Linked DNA regions of Saccharomyces cerevisiae S288C. Each later gene encodes a partner of the first gene's protein in a complex. Each region holds a gene or a part of one and is shown on either strand. Other genes may lie near its edges. The genes, in order: BRE2, SET1, SHG1 and SWD3. A codon is read from its position in the direction of its gene.

What was found.
Region 2: the proteins of BRE2 (region 1) and SET1 are in contact, whole or in part, in a cryo-EM structure (PDB 6BX3), measured with the Saccharomyces cerevisiae proteins. Residues at the interface, in NP_013115.1 of Saccharomyces cerevisiae: Gly118 (codon at 1,860), Trp119 (codon at 1,857), Glu194 (codon at 1,632), Ala195 (codon at 1,629), Phe199 (codon at 1,617); in NP_011987.1 of Saccharomyces cerevisiae: Arg973 (codon at 5,140), Pro975 (codon at 5,146), Val976 (codon at 5,149), Glu978 (codon at 5,155), Met979 (codon at 5,158).
Region 3: BRE2 (region 1) and SHG1 share a complex: the UniProt entries of both Saccharomyces cerevisiae proteins name them as parts of the set1C/COMPASS complex.
Region 4: BRE2 (region 1) and SWD3 share a complex: the UniProt entries of both Saccharomyces cerevisiae proteins name them as parts of the set1C/COMPASS complex.

The regions. Positions count from the first base shown.
Region 1 is NC_001144.5:173,435-177,437, reverse strand, and holds BRE2 (Bre2p), read right to left. Parts: upstream 2,212-4,003; coding exon 694-2,211; downstream 1-693. Other genes in the region: PML1 (Pml1p), read left to right, coding at 22-636; PPR1 (Ppr1p), read left to right, coding at 2,456-4,003. UniProt on the Saccharomyces cerevisiae protein: Component of the Set1C/COMPASS complex that specifically mono-, di- and trimethylates histone H3 to form H3K4me1/2/3, which subsequently plays a role in telomere length maintenance and transcription elongation regulation.
Region 2 is NC_001140.6:343,820-349,785, forward strand, and holds SET1 (histone methyltransferase SET1), read left to right. Parts: upstream 1-2,223; coding exon 2,224-5,466; downstream 5,467-5,966. Other genes in the region: protein channel TOM71, read left to right, coding at 1-449; ORC6 (origin recognition complex subunit 6), read right to left, coding at 502-1,809; mismatch repair ATPase MSH1, read left to right, coding at 5,755-5,966. UniProt on the Saccharomyces cerevisiae protein: Catalytic component of the COMPASS (Set1C) complex that specifically mono-, di- and trimethylates histone H3 to form H3K4me1/2/3.
Region 3 is NC_001134.8:729,234-731,980, forward strand, and holds SHG1 (Shg1p), read right to left. Parts: upstream 930-2,747; coding exon 501-929; downstream 1-500. Other genes in the region: POP4 (RNase P/RNase MRP complex subunit), read left to right, coding at 1-491; YBR259W (uncharacterized protein), read left to right, coding at 1,154-2,747. UniProt on the Saccharomyces cerevisiae protein: The COMPASS (Set1C) complex specifically mono-, di- and trimethylates histone H3 to form H3K4me1/2/3, which subsequently plays a role in telomere length maintenance and transcription elongation regulation.
Region 4 is NC_001134.8:580,472-583,925, reverse strand, and holds SWD3 (Swd3p), read right to left. Parts: upstream 1,519-3,454; coding exon 571-1,518; downstream 1-570. Other genes in the region: ECM31 (3-methyl-2-oxobutanoate hydroxymethyltransferase), read right to left, coding at 1-206; UMP1 (Ump1p), read left to right, coding at 1,754-2,200; SMY2 (Smy2p), read left to right, coding at 2,554-3,454. UniProt on the Saccharomyces cerevisiae protein: The COMPASS (Set1C) complex specifically mono-, di- and trimethylates histone H3 to form H3K4me1/2/3, which subsequently plays a role in telomere length maintenance and transcription elongation regulation.

The DNA.
Region 1 (4,003 bases):
CGACTCCATTTGCGTATAGACATGTTTCACAGACGCAAAAGACCTTATAACACCAGAAATTATGGCCATGATGACAAGAAATTCAAATCGCAGTACATCGATATTATGCCAGACTTCAGCCCTTCCGGTCTGTTAGAGCTGGAGTCGAATAACAAAGAAGGTATAGCTTTAAAACATGTGGAGCCGCAGGACGCTATTTCTCCAGATAACTACATGGATATGCTAGGACTGGAGGCGCGAGATAGGACTATGTATGAACTAGTGATATACAGAAAGAATGACAAGGATAAAGGACCGTGGAAAAGATACGATTTGAACGGCAGGAGCTGTTATTTAGTCGGTCGTGAACTGGGCCACAGTCTGGATACAGATCTCGACGATAGAACGGAGATCGTTGTCGCAGACATTGGTATACCCGAAGAAACATCCTCAAAGCAGCACTGCGTCATCCAGTTCAGGAACGTTCGTGGCATTTTGAAATGTTATGTAATGGATTTGGATTCGTCCAATGGGACATGTTTGAACAACGTTGTAATTCCTGGAGCGAGATATATAGAGCTACGAAGTGGTGACGTCCTTACACTTTCAGAATTTGAAGAAGATAACGATTACGAACTCATCTTCATGAATGTATAACCATATATAAGAAACACACTTTCAGTGTGTTTTAATTATTCTTCTTTGAATGCTGCTTTATTGCTGTAGGGCAATTTGCTCCAACTCATCGATTATATCCCATACTATGTCTTCAGCTATCTGTTCTTTGTACAATGTATCCAGTGTGTTAACTTTTGAATTCCCGTCAACACAGTAAGCTGATCGGATTTGATCGAGGTACTCCAATTTATCTTCTTCACTAATTATCCTCGCTGTTCCACCGTTAAAACAGCTGATTGTTGGATAGTAACCCAGTTTGTTATTATTTACGTATTTGTTTCTGAGTATCAATCCCTTCTTTTTCTTTTGTTGCTGCTTTTTCTTTTTGGCACTGGTTGTGTTTTTATCATTGGACTCATCACGAGCTTCACCATGTTGCCAATATCCAAGATAGAACTTTTCATTGTATTGTAACTCACTGAACGGTGGTAACAACGGCTTTAAATTTTCAAATGCTTTGCCTAGGTACTTACCATTTTGAAAGATAGCAAGATATGAATCCTCTAACTGGTAATAGTCTTGCCTTTCCCTCTTATCAGAAGAATAATATTCCGGTTTCGTTGTCTTTACATAGTCCGTTGCCTCAAAGAACAACTGGTTCTTATACCTGATGGCGATTTGATCGCGGACGACGTCGTTATATTCAATATCTTCTAATAGCGCCCTTTGAAATTCTTTGTTCGTTGTCTCTTGTTTTAATTTTTTCCTTGAAGGCCCATTCTCAGCATCTTCTCTCCATGGTTCATTCATCGTATCCATATGGGAGTTCAGTGCAAAAATTCTTCTTTTGGTAAACTCCTTAGCTTGTTTGATTTGTGTATGAATGCTAGGAAGACTCAGTAGAAATCCGATTTTATCACCCTCTTTCAATGGCGAACCATTTTCTAGGACGCAATTCAATTTTCCTTCGTGGATAGATTCTAACGAAATGTCTCTAATACCATACCCGTACACATCAAACCCTACGGGAGCCTCTAAACTGGCCTCTCTTCTGCAAACTCCAAATCGTAGATGCGGGGTGTCATTCACTTGTTTGTGCATTTTTTCGTATATGCCACTTTGTACTTCGTCTACTGAATCATCAGCATTTTCCTTATTATTAACACCGTCTGCGAATTTCTTGTTTCCTCCACGAATTACCTCCACTTCCCAATACGTCATTCCTTCTTTAATACACACATCGCTTCTTGCAGTTCTCCAACCGTATTGATCCGGGACACTTACCAGATCATTTCCATCTCGACTAATTGACAACCCTTCAGATCTGTCCATGACGCTCATTCCAGAGTGGTCAAATGGGTATTCTGTACAGCCATACCCCAAAATAGTGAAAAAGGGATTTGCGGAACACGGTCTGTACACAAAATGTCTTCGATTCAATGGAATATCTTCTGTGCGGACAAACTCATAACTTGTACCCTGAACCGATGACTTGATTTGGTGCGTTGCTTCCATCTGTGGTAAATTAGGTCTCTTCCCTTCTTGCTGACCCTGGAGAGCATTCTTGTAAACAATATCAGTACCTTCCTGGTAAGGTATAATACCCAACTTCATTATTAAGGAAGTGAATTATTTGTCTTCGTCCAATTATGGCCACCTTTATCGCTGATATCCTTTGTCTACATCCTTTTTAAACTATAATCACAGATTCTCTATTTTTTTCTTTTACCGCGATGAGCTTCATAAAATACTCACAATACCAAATGTGAAAAATTTTAGTAACGTAAAGTGGTTTGCTTTATTCGCACAGGAGTAACCCTTTAGAGTACATAAAACATACGAAGATGATGATTAAATCATGAAGCAGAAAAAATTTAACTCCAAAAAAAGTAATAGAACAGATTTATCAAAAAGAGGAGATTCTCCTAATATAGGAATTTCCAAATCTAGAACTGCATGTAAACGATGTCGATTGAAAAAAATTAAATGTGATCAGGAGTTTCCTAGCTGTAAGAGGTGTGCAAAATTAGAGGTACCATGTGTTTCTTTGGACCCAGCCACCGGAAAGGACGTTCCAAGATCTTACGTCTTTTTTCTGGAAGATAGATTGGCTGTCATGATGCGTGTGTTGAAAGAATATGGAGTAGATCCCACGAAAATACGAGGAAATATACCTGCTACAAGTGATGATGAACCTTTTGATTTGAAAAAGTACAGTTCAGTTTCATCTTTGGGAGAAGAGGGAATATTGCCACATAATGGCTTATTGGCGGATTATTTGGTTCAGAAAGGGAATTCTATGGCATCCTCAGCTATAACGAGCAAGTCTATGGCAAGCCCACAGACTATAAATGTACAACGCAAGGAATTTCTGGTAAACTCAAAAAAACAAGATGGTAGCGCTTTATTACCCGAGACAGGCAGCCCTATGACTTCAGATGCAAGAGCGGAAGAGCTACGCCGATGTAATAAGGAGATCAGTGCGCTGGGCACGATGAGAGAAAGTAGTTTTAACTCTTTTTTAGGAGATTCATCGGGTATTTCCTTTGCGAAATTAGTCTTCACGGCAACTAATTTTCGTCAAGATTCCGGAGATGACGTTCTGGATGAAGATATTAAACAAAGGGAACAGAAATACAATGGATATGCAGAGGCTGAAAACAATCCACACTTTGATCCATTGGAACTACCACCTCGACATGCCGCTGAAGTTATGATATCCAGGTTTTTTGTAGATACTAATTCCCAGTTACCTTTGCTGCATAGAGAACTTTTCCTGAAAAAATACTTTGAACCTATTTATGGTCCCTGGAATCCCAATATTGCATTGGCATCTGATCAGACAGGCATAAATAGCGCGTTCGAAATTCCAATTACCAGTGCTTTTAGTGCGCATACTGAACCAAAAAGGGAGAACGTTACTGAGAAGATTGACGTATGCTCTTCCGTGGATGTTCCATGGTATGACACTTGGGAGACATCTCAAAAAGTCAACATGCGTCCGATAGTTGAACTACCGACAAAATTTCACATACCTTATTTTTTTTTAAACATTATATTTGCTATTGGCCATGCTACGCAGGTACTTAAGTCAGATATTACTACTGTCGCGACATATAAGAGACGCGCTACTAAATATATTGCATCTTTATTTTCATCTTCAGACAGGTTGGAGGCATTGGCAGGCACTTTGCTCATGGTAATCTATTCAATAATGAGACCTAATGTCCCCGGTGTTTGGTATACTATGGGTTCTGTACTAAGACTAACGGTTGACCTAGGACTACATTCGGAAAAAATTAATAAAAATTATGACGCCTTTACCAGAGAAATACGCAGGCGTCTATTTTGGTGCGTTTACTCCTTAGATCGGCAAATTTGCTCGTATTTTGGTCGACCTTTTGGT
Region 2 (5,966 bases), on another chromosome or scaffold:
CAGATAGGGGCGATTTTGATACTGCAATTAAACAATATGATATTGCTAAAAGGTTGGAAGAAGTGCAAGAAAAAATACATGTGGGTATAGGACCCTTGATTGGGAAAGCAACTATATTAGCTAGACAATCCTCTCAAGATCCAACCCAGTTGGATGAAGAGAAATTCAACGCAGCCATTAAGCTGCTGACAAAAGCCTGTGAATTAGATCCACGATCTGAACAAGCGAAGATCGGGTTAGCACAACTAAAATTACAAATGGAAAAAATTGACGAGGCCATAGAATTGTTTGAAGATTCTGCAATTTTAGCAAGAACTATGGATGAAAAACTTCAAGCTACTACCTTCGCGGAAGCTGCAAAGATACAAAAGCGTTTGAGGGCTGATCCAATCATAAGTGCAAAGATGGAGCTAACATTAGCTCGTTATAGGGCTAAAGGCATGCTTTAGAAGATATGTCAGGTATTGGTCAAATATATACTTTTAGTTAATACTGGATATGTTATAAAGGTTCTGTTAATGCCAAATCCATTTCAATTCTTTTCTTCCAAATATTGTACTGGTCGTCTGTGACCAAAATATTGGTGGTTTGTAACATCGATCCCAGTTTCCTAAATATAATTTCATCGTATCTGATGCCATCAAAATCATCATACCTAATTTGCAAATCTCTGAACCATTTTTCACCGATAATTAATTCCTTCACTAATTTTACACATTCAATAACATCATCCACTTTTGACGTCAACATCAAGCTGCACATCTTACTGACTATAAAATGGTCAATTCTTGGATCCTTGCGTCTTCTTTCATTAAATACAATGAATGTACAATTTAATACTAACCCACACACTAATTGCCATGGGCAAACCAATCTTGACGCGTTTATGTTGTACTCATCCACAATTTTATATGCTACTTCTCTTGGTAATTCAAAATCGTTGCAAAGCCGTATTATTTCTTCAGTAGTCATTTTGCAATACTTCTTTACTAACAAAGAATTTGGTATTCTGCCCCTTTTCCTCAGGGCTTTTGCCGTCTTCAATTCTGATTGCGGTTTTCCAACTGCCTTATTTTGTTTCGTTCTCCCGCTTCTGCTTTCTTGCACACCTAATGGCTCTTCCTCACTTGTAGGGTCACTTTCATGGTTTTCATACTCATCAGAATCTACATTTCTGGTTCCAGTAATGCTCTTATTACTATGGCTTTTTAAAGACAAACCGTCGTTTCCTGGTTCCTCTTCATCCTCATCCTCATCCTCTTCAAATGCTAACTTTCTCCTAGTAATAGACGGCGATTCATTGGTTTGCATGGGGGGTAGTTCTGGTATTACGAACGAATCATTATTTTGGCTTTTCCTAACTTTAGTTGGTGTACCAAACAGTTGATTCCTCAACTCTTTCGGATCAGAAGAAGTAAACCTCCCACCGTTCTTTACTGGACTGCGTTTGTTCTTTTTGGGGCTCGGTGTCCAAGCAAATTGTTTCATAGGTGAAGAATTAGATAAACTTTGTCTGAAAAGGTTCATTAAATGCTTGGCTTTTTTCGGCTCCAAGGGAATACTGTCTATATAATAGCAAAGGTCAGGCATGTGTTTTTCATTCATTTTCTGTGACGCTATGTATGCACATATGTGACATCTAGCAACCTCTTCATCTTGTTTCAGCATTACCTTGTTCAGTGAAGTATTATATAAAATCGATGTCGCATTAGTCAACTTCTTCAAATATCCGCTCGACCAGTCCGGTTTTTCTTGTGGATCTAGTCGAAGTACTTCTGCGACACAATGTTGGACTTGTTGCATGGACATGACTGGTTTTAATGGTATTGTTTTGGCCAATTTTATTTACTGATATTGTACACTTTTTTCTGCAATTTTAGTGTGAGATTTTTTTTTTCAATGCCGATTTCTTACTAACGTAAACAACGGCAAAGAACAAAGAAATACACAGTTTTATCACAAAGAGTTGATTTTTGCTGAAGAGAAGCGTGAGGAGTGTATTCGAAAGCCTTGCATATTCTGGACACTTGCGATTCTAGCTCTTTACGGACGCCCGCATTCTTTTTTCATACTCTGTTTCGTGCTGCTTTCACACAATATTTTTCAAAAGTTTCTTCTCATCGTTTTTCTGTTAGCAACCCTCAACTTACGAGAGAGTTGCGACTAGCATAGGTAACATTCCTTATTTGTTGAATCTTTATAAGAGGTCTCTGCGTTTAGAGAATGTCAAATTACTATAGAAGAGCACACGCGTCTTCTGGTTCATACAGACAACCCCAGGAACAGCCTCAATATTCGCGTTCTGGTCACTATCAGTATTCAAACGGCCATTCTCACCAACAATATTCTAGTCAATATAATCAACGTCGACGTTATAACCATAATGATGGTACAAGGCGACGCTATAATGACGATCGCCCACATAGTTCAAACAATGCAAGTACGCGACAGTACTATGCTACTAACAACAGCCAAAGCGGCCCATATGTAAATAAGAAATCTGACATCAGTAGTCGGAGGGGCATGTCTCAATCACGGTATTCAAATAGCAATGTTCACAATACATTAGCGTCTTCGAGTGGATCTCTTCCCACAGAATCTGCTCTGCTTTTGCAACAAAGACCACCTTCAGTTTTGAGATACAACACAGATAATTTGAAGTCTAAGTTTCATTATTTTGATCCCATAAAAGGCGAGTTCTTCAATAAGGATAAGATGCTTTCGTGGAAGGCTACAGATAAAGAATTTTCTGAAACAGGTTATTACGTAGTCAAAGAGTTACAAGATGGACAGTTTAAGTTCAAAATAAAACACAGACATCCGGAGATAAAAGCATCCGACCCACGTAATGAAAACGGTATCATGACTAGCGGAAAAGTGGCAACCCACAGAAAATGCAGGAACTCACTAATTCTATTGCCTCGCATATCTTATGACAGGTACTCCTTAGGGCCTCCCCCTTCATGTGAAATAGTTGTCTATCCAGCGCAAGATTCAACAACAACCAATATCCAAGACATATCAATAAAAAACTATTTTAAAAAGTATGGAGAAATTTCTCATTTTGAAGCATTTAATGATCCTAATAGCGCTTTACCTTTGCATGTTTATCTTATAAAGTATGCCAGTTCTGATGGAAAAATTAATGATGCAGCAAAAGCAGCCTTTAGTGCCGTTAGAAAGCACGAATCTTCGGGTTGCTTTATCATGGGCTTCAAGTTCGAAGTGATTTTAAACAAGCATTCCATTTTGAATAATATCATTTCTAAATTTGTTGAAATAAATGTCAAAAAGCTACAGAAGTTACAAGAGAACCTGAAGAAGGCTAAAGAGAAAGAAGCAGAAAACGAAAAAGCAAAGGAATTACAGGGCAAAGATATTACCTTGCCCAAGGAACCTAAGGTAGACACATTATCTCATTCGTCCGGAAGTGAAAAAAGAATTCCATATGATCTCTTGGGGGTAGTTAATAACAGACCTGTTTTACATGTCTCCAAAATATTTGTTGCCAAACATAGGTTCTGCGTTGAGGACTTTAAATACAAGTTAAGGGGATACAGATGTGCGAAATTTATTGATCATCCAACTGGTATCTATATTATTTTTAATGACATTGCCCATGCGCAAACATGTTCGAATGCAGAGTCAGGAAATTTAACAATAATGTCTCGGAGCAGAAGAATTCCTATTCTAATAAAGTTTCATCTCATTCTCCCTAGGTTCCAAAACAGAACTAGATTCAATAAATCTAGCTCATCTTCAAATTCTACAAATGTACCTATAAAATACGAGTCCAAAGAGGAGTTCATTGAAGCTACAGCAAAACAAATATTAAAAGATTTGGAAAAGACTTTACATGTTGATATTAAGAAGAGATTGATTGGTCCTACGGTATTTGATGCTTTGGACCATGCAAATTTTCCTGAATTGTTAGCTAAAAGAGAACTAAAGGAGAAAGAGAAGAGACAACAGATTGCATCTAAAATTGCTGAAGATGAATTGAAACGTAAAGAAGAAGCCAAAAGAGATTTTGATTTGTTTGGTTTATATGGTGGCTATGCAAAATCTAATAAAAGAAATTTAAAAAGGCATAATTCACTCGCGTTGGATCATACTTCTTTAAAGAGGAAAAAGCTATCCAATGGTATCAAACCAATGGCACATTTACTGAACGAAGAAACCGATTCCAAAGAAACTACCCCATTGAACGATGAAGGGATCACTCGCGTATCAAAAGAACATGATGAAGAAGACGAAAATATGACATCTTCATCTTCTGAAGAAGAGGAAGAAGAAGCTCCAGATAAGAAATTCAAGAGTGAGTCTGAGCCAACCACCCCCGAATCTGATCACCTTCATGGTATTAAGCCGTTAGTACCCGATCAAAATGGGTCGTCTGACGTACTGGATGCTTCTTCGATGTATAAACCTACTGCTACCGAAATTCCCGAACCTGTATATCCACCTGAGGAATATGACTTGAAATATAGTCAGACTTTATCTTCTATGGATTTGCAGAATGCTATCAAAGATGAGGAAGATATGCTAATTTTAAAGCAGTTATTGAGCACATATACTCCTACCGTCACACCAGAAACAAGCGCAGCTCTGGAATATAAAATTTGGCAATCTCGCCGAAAAGTTCTTGAAGAAGAGAAGGCTTCCGATTGGCAAATAGAGCTTAATGGAACTTTATTTGATAGTGAACTACAACCAGGTAGCTCTTTTAAAGCTGAAGGGTTCAGGAAAATTGCGGATAAATTAAAAATTAATTACCTACCCCATCGTCGCAGAGTTCACCAACCTTTAAATACGGTGAATATTCACAATGAAAGGAATGAGTACACACCTGAACTTTGTCAAAGAGAAGAATCCTCGAATAAAGAACCTTCAGACTCAGTTCCTCAAGAAGTTTCATCCTCTAGAGATAATAGGGCATCAAATAGAAGATTTCAGCAGGACATAGAGGCACAGAAAGCCGCAATTGGTACGGAATCTGAGCTGCTATCACTAAATCAATTAAATAAAAGAAAAAAGCCAGTTATGTTCGCTCGTTCAGCAATTCACAACTGGGGTTTATATGCTCTAGACTCTATCGCAGCAAAGGAAATGATTATCGAGTACGTTGGTGAAAGGATCAGGCAACCTGTAGCAGAAATGAGAGAGAAAAGATATCTGAAAAATGGGATTGGATCCAGTTACCTTTTTAGGGTTGATGAAAACACGGTTATTGATGCCACCAAGAAAGGTGGTATAGCCCGTTTCATTAATCATTGTTGTGATCCAAATTGTACGGCAAAGATTATAAAGGTTGGCGGGAGAAGGAGAATTGTTATCTATGCACTGCGTGATATCGCGGCAAGCGAAGAGTTGACATATGATTACAAATTTGAGAGAGAAAAGGATGACGAGGAAAGACTTCCTTGTTTATGTGGAGCACCTAATTGTAAAGGTTTCTTGAACTGACGATGATACATTGATTTGTTTGGAGCTTCCTGATTTAACATATCGTTGCTTTCCAGCAAAAGGTAAAGATAAATACTAAACTGTATACATCTATAAGTAATCTCGGCCATTATTTTAACGATTAGTACTTTTGTTCGTGTCATTTTTTTGGAAAATTTTGCGATCTCTCACTGTTGAAGAATAAAGATTTCGCGATGACTTTTGCTTGCAGAGAAATGCCTGAAAACACGAACATTCAATAATATAGATGGTACATAACATATGCGCAAGAAAACGTAAAGGCCACGGATGAAGCATTTCTTTAGGCTACCGACAGCATTCCGGCCCATTTCTAGGGTTTCCTTACGATATTCTAGTACTGATACCGCTCAACCAAAAATATCAAAACTCAAAATTAGTTTTAATAAAATTTCTGAATCAAATAGCGAAAAAAAAGATAATTTGGGTTCAATTGACACACGAAATTGTCTTTCGACTCAGCAAGATGACAAACTATCAAG
Region 3 (2,747 bases), on another chromosome or scaffold:
ACCTTTTACACTACATAGAGGAGAAGCATCCAACGATATACGAATCATTACCGCAGTACGTTGATTTTGTACCGATGTATAAGGAACTATGGATTAACTATATTAAAGAACTTTTGAACATTACAAAAAACTTAAAAACATTCAATGGATCATTAGCATTATTAAAACTATCTATGGCAGACTATAATGGTGCGCTGTTACGCGTTACAAAGAGCAAAAATAAGACTTTAATAGGCCTTCAAGGCATTGTGATCTGGGACTCTCAGAAATTTTTTATCATGATTGTCAAGGGCAATATAATAGACGAAATAAAATGCATTCCAAAAAAGGGCACAGTATTTCAATTTGAAATCCCAATATCAGATGACGACGATTCGGCATTGAGATATAGTATACTAGGCGATAGGTTCAAGTACAGAAGTGTGGATCGTGCAGGCAGGAAGTTCAAAAGTCGTCGTTGTGATGATATGCTATATTATATACAGAATTAGTAAGAGTTATTACGTACTTCCATTTGCTTCCTCTTCATAAGAGTTCAGTGTTTCCTGAAGTTGTCCCTTTATCATTTCCAATAGTTTGGGATCCTGTAACTTAGACCGTACATAGACATCCAAGTCAAATTTCTTCTCACCATCACCATTATCCCCCTCCATTTTACTACCCAGCTTTAGGTAGTTGTCCTTGACCAATTGTGATTCAATCAATGCACTGGTTAGCCCTCTGTTTTTAAATATTAATTCTTCATCTTCGTTAACCATTTCTTTAACAGTACTGGCAACTCTTTTCCGAAGCGCTTGTTCAAAAGATTCACTATTCTCTTCTGTATTATTCCATGGGTTAGACAATATTTCTCTTTTCAACTTGTCAAAATGTCCCTCCTTCTTATACTTGTCTGATAGTCTTTTACTATCTTCTTGATTATACGCCATTTTTTGGATTTGAAATAAGCTCTACTCTCTTATACTGTGTTTCAGCTTCGCTAAATAAAGAACTGATTTTCTTACGTATTATTTCTCTAGTATCTCTCGTTTTCAAGATATAGAAAAATAAGACAAAAAAAAAGGCCATCATATTTATACAACGAAAAGTGTTTAATATGGAAGCAGCAAGCGGTATATGAACTCAGTTTTAAGGTGTAGTTTATTTTATAGTCATGTCCATTGACGAGGCTGTTGCCAGATATAGAGATGTTATAGGCAATCTAGCAACTGGCAATTTAAGGCGGATTGTTATACAGTCAGAAAAACTGGCCCAGATCATTGCATCTTCAAAAGGTACCGTTCGTTTCCACCATAAAACTCGCAGCGGTAAAACAGTAATATACAAATGCATCAAAAAGGCGCTGCTTTCCAGTGTCGCGTCTCTATCGTCAGAGTTTTCCTCAGAAACAGATGTTCAGCAATTCCTCCATTTAAATTACATATATCAATCTCACTTCCAAGCTTTGAGTGGACAAATAAACAAATATTGCGGCATGAAGAAATACTACGAGTTAAAGTTTGCAGCAATCGACTACTTAGAAACCGAAGTCCAAACTACCGGGCTTACACTCTCAAGATTCTGGGTGGCATCTTTAGATGAGTTCATTAAAAAAGAGCGATGGCCAGATAATGGATCTAACTTTCAAATCTTTTACAAACTAATGGCTGAGTATTCGTCTTGGAAATGGGATTCTGATGATAAAAGGCAACTCCAGTTCATGTACGAATTTCGAATGAAACTCAAAGAATGTTTGGTGAAATTTTACGAGAATTTTGATCTTCAAAAATCTAGCGATCCTCTGAAAGAACTCATTATACCTTGGGAAAAGATTGTTTATGTCGCCAACTGTATCGATGCATTCACTGGAGAGCAAGTTAGGATCGACGGTGCTGAATTAATCTGGACATCCAAAAATCTTGTGTTCTCTTCGATTTCTTCTGCCGTTCTTAGATTAAATGACCTTCAAAATATGTTCAGCGCATTCCGGCCTTATGGGGAAGAAGCATTAGTTCAAGACTTTGCGCATATACGATCTTTAAAGTGGGATAGTAATGATAAAGTTGAAAGCTTAATTCGTGCCCTTATTTTTAATGATATGTTTCCTTATTTCAATAAGGAACAGGTAGATACGAAGGCAGATGGTATATTCTTTTTGCGCTTACTGAGAAAAAACTTCAAAGAACACATTAATGACGTTAAAGATTTTCATATTCAAGTGATAAAGTACTTGAATTCCCAATTTAAAAATAATTACAGCACATTGATGACGTCATCGAAAACTCAGGATAGAAGGAAAAGTCATAATATGCCTTCTTCTATCTTAGACGATGGTAACAAAATTGGAATGCATGTTTCGCCTATCGATGAATACTCACATTTTATTGATAATGATGAACCGTTGTGGCGAGACAAAGTATATCCAAAGATTTACACAAATGAGCAAACACCTACACCTGACGCATCAGCAATATTTGATTCTCACAAGATATATGCAATTATATCGCTGCTGCGATATTACTTACCTGAGAAGAGAAAGTTTTTTCGGATTTATTATCTGCCCAGTATTTTTAAAAGGATATTATATTACGGTGCAAAGTTTGCTCAACTATATTTCATGGAAGGTTGCTTGGAACGGCTAGTAATAGAATCTCTCCAAATTCTAGAACCCTCTTTGGTACATGCGATAAATAATTTGATCAAGTCTAGCATAGAATCACTCAAAAATGTAACAGTGACAAGTGATGACAAAACTTCATCTGGTGTCA
Region 4 (3,454 bases), on another chromosome or scaffold:
AAAGAATCTCCGACTAAGAGTAAATCACAATTAGCCTTGTTAACCCATGTTGCAGTAATGAAGTCATACGCAGTACACATCGACAAAGGCGTACCAGTAAAATATTTGTTCCTGATATCCTGAATCGTATTATATTTGACAACGTTTTTTGCTGTAGAAAAAAATCGCTTAGAGGAGGTGCATAATTGTCTTTTCATTATATTCATATTGTGAGTAAAAATTTCCCTAATTTTATGGCAAGCTAATTTATTAACAAGACAGATGCTAGCTATCAATGCAGTAGGTAATCTGTACTAAGCTTTTGTATAGGCTGGTTTAAGGCGCGAGTTCTTCGAGATGTGAACACTTAATGTTGAAAGCTGCCCGAACTTCCCTTAGTAGTTTTTTAGGATATCTTACTCATCACGCAAGACAGCAGCAGTGAAAAATAAAAAAAAAAATTAGAATAAAGTAAAAAATATCTGGCTGAAAATCCGATCCCTTAAAACTTTTAAACGTCTATAATATATCTATATATACTCTTGTGTTACACCTTAAGGGAATGTCTGTCGTGTACATAACGCAGATTCTTTAAACCCATCTCCATAAACAGCAATCTCCATTCAATGCAAGGGAACACATTATATTACCGAAGCAATGTATGCTCATTACAGGGCTGCTGTGGTGATATAAAGAACCATCGAGCAACTGTAAGAGGCTTTTTGTATCAGAATTCCAACAATATATATCGCCATTTTCATAACCGCTGATCACCAAAGGAGTGGATCCATCTTCAGGATTTAAGAAGTCCATACCGCAGGAATGATGCAGTACGCCCTTTTCAAGAGGCTGAACCTGGAAAGTACGAACTACACAACCCCCGATGCAATCCCATATTTTCACTACACCGTCCAGCGATTTCACCAGGAGATATCTTGCATTCTCAGAAAACTTAACTTGGGAGATGGGTACCACACCATTTTCTCTTTTCCAATCCTTGTCATAGGTCAATGTCTTCAAACAATGGCCCGTCTCTGCATCAAAGATCCGTATGAGCCCGTCATATGAACCTGAACTCAGAATGGATGAATCATTCATGGGTACGTCCACCGACACAACTGCTTCTGAGTGTGCAGATATTGTTTTCATCAAAGACCCGTTCAGTGTGTCCCATATTTTGATACTTTCGTCCATTGAGGATGTAAACAGCAAGTTCCCCTTTCTATTGAATGTCAGAGATATCACTGGCGCTGTATGGCCGATAAAAGTGTGCAGCAGCCCATAAGATAAATGAATGATTTCCACAGAAAAATCATCCGATGCAGTAGCTATGCACTGTCCATCTGGAGACCAGCATAACTCTGAGAAAGGCCTGGCATGTGATGTGACTAGTGTTTGTGATACAGTTCGTCTGTTAATGTCGTATATCAGGATGTTAAGTCCTTGTGTTATAGCAAGAAACTGCCCATCAGGAGATATTTTCGCACAAGTAGCTTTCAATCCATTCTGTGTTCCCACAGGAGTAACAAACTGGAACATGTTAGCATATAATGGCCACTTGCAAATGAATGAGCCTACGCTCAAACTTTCCAATATCTACCGCCAGTGATGCACAAGCATTTCTTATGGTCTTGCTTTTTTCACTCCTCGGGTAACCATGCAGTGGCAATTTTATCCTACCTGAGGTTATTAAAGTATATTATGTAGTTTCCTGCTCACTGGAGAGGGAATGAGTATTAAATAGACAAGACCAGAAACAGCCTGCATACCAACTATGAATATCGTCCCACAAGATACCTTTAAATCTCAAGTCTCTACAGATCAAGACAAAAGTGTTCTTTCATCTGCAGTGCCCTCCTTGCCAGACACATTACGCCAGCAAGAAGGCGGTGCAGTACCTCTTTCCACACAATTGAATGACAGACATCCATTAGAATCAACATTGAAGAACTGGGAAACCACACAGCGCCAAAGACAAATGGAACAGTATCGACAAATATTTGGCATTGCCGAACCAATGAAAAGGACGATGGAAATGGAAATCGTCAATCGTACCGACTTCAACCCCCTTTCAACAAACGGTAGTATACACCGTGACATACTACTGAACAAAGAGTGCAGCATCGATTGGGAGGACGTCTACCCTGGTACTGGCCTACAAGCCAGCACCATGGTAGGTGATGACGTCCACAGCAAAATCGAAAAACAATTAGGCATTTAAAAATTGCTCTCAATTTCTTTATACATCTGTCACGTAAACCATTGAAAAGATTAGATTAGTGCCGTAATACTTATACTACATAGTTGTGCCACACTATATTTTTAGTGTCCTATATAGTCCGCAATTACCCTATGCCTTTTTTTCAGTCGCACTGAAAAAAAAAAAAATTTTTCATATTTCCACTTATAGGTTGATTTGATTTGATGGGCCTTTTGGAACTTTTCACAATACTACAAATACCCACACACGCAGTTCAGTGGTCTCTTCGAGTTCATCATTTCCATTCGTACTCCTTGAGCTTTTACCTTCCTTCCTCCTCCCCTATATACTCAACTTCTCAGCCCACATCAATAATGATAGCACCAGACTCGCAAAGATTATTCGGTTCCTTTGATGAACAGTTTAAGGACTTAAAACTAGATTCAGTCGATACAGAAAACAATAACACACACGGTGTTTCTACTATCCTGGATTCCTCCCCTGCGAGCGTTAATAACAATACAAACGGTGCTGTTGCTGCAAGCGTGAATACAGTCCCTGGATCGACGTTTAGATCCAATACACCTCTTTTAGGAGGTCGACATCCACTCAGTAGGACGTCTTCCTTAATCGATTCTATTGGTATACAGCGTGCTGCGTCACCATTTTCTTCTATGAAAGAGCCTTTTATTCCTCAAAGTTCGGGAGTAATGAGTTCCTCTTTTTGGCACGGCGACCATCCTGAATCACGGGTTAGTACGCCTGTTCAGCAGCATCCACTATTGCAAAGAAACGAGTCCTCCTCCTCCTTTAGTTATGCTGCTAATCTTGGAGTGAATCTGAGTACACATTCATTGGCGGTAGATATTACTCCATTAAGTACACCAACTGCTGCCCAATCTCATGTCAATTTGTTTCCGTCCTCTGATATTCCTCCTAATATGAGCATGAACGGAATGTCACAACTCCCAGCACCAGTTTCAGTTGAATCCAGTTGGAGGTACATAGACACGCAGGGACAGATTCATGGTCCATTTACTACCCAAATGATGTCACAATGGTACATAGGTGGCTATTTTGCTTCAACCCTTCAGATTTCAAGATTGGGAAGCACTCCAGAAACGCTAGGAATAAACGATATTTTCATCACACTTGGTGAGTTAATGACTAAACTCGAGAAGTATGATACGGATCCATTCACTACTTTTGACAAACTTCACGTTCAAACAACCAGCTCTGATTCTATCAACTTGAATCTAGCTCCTTACGCAAGCG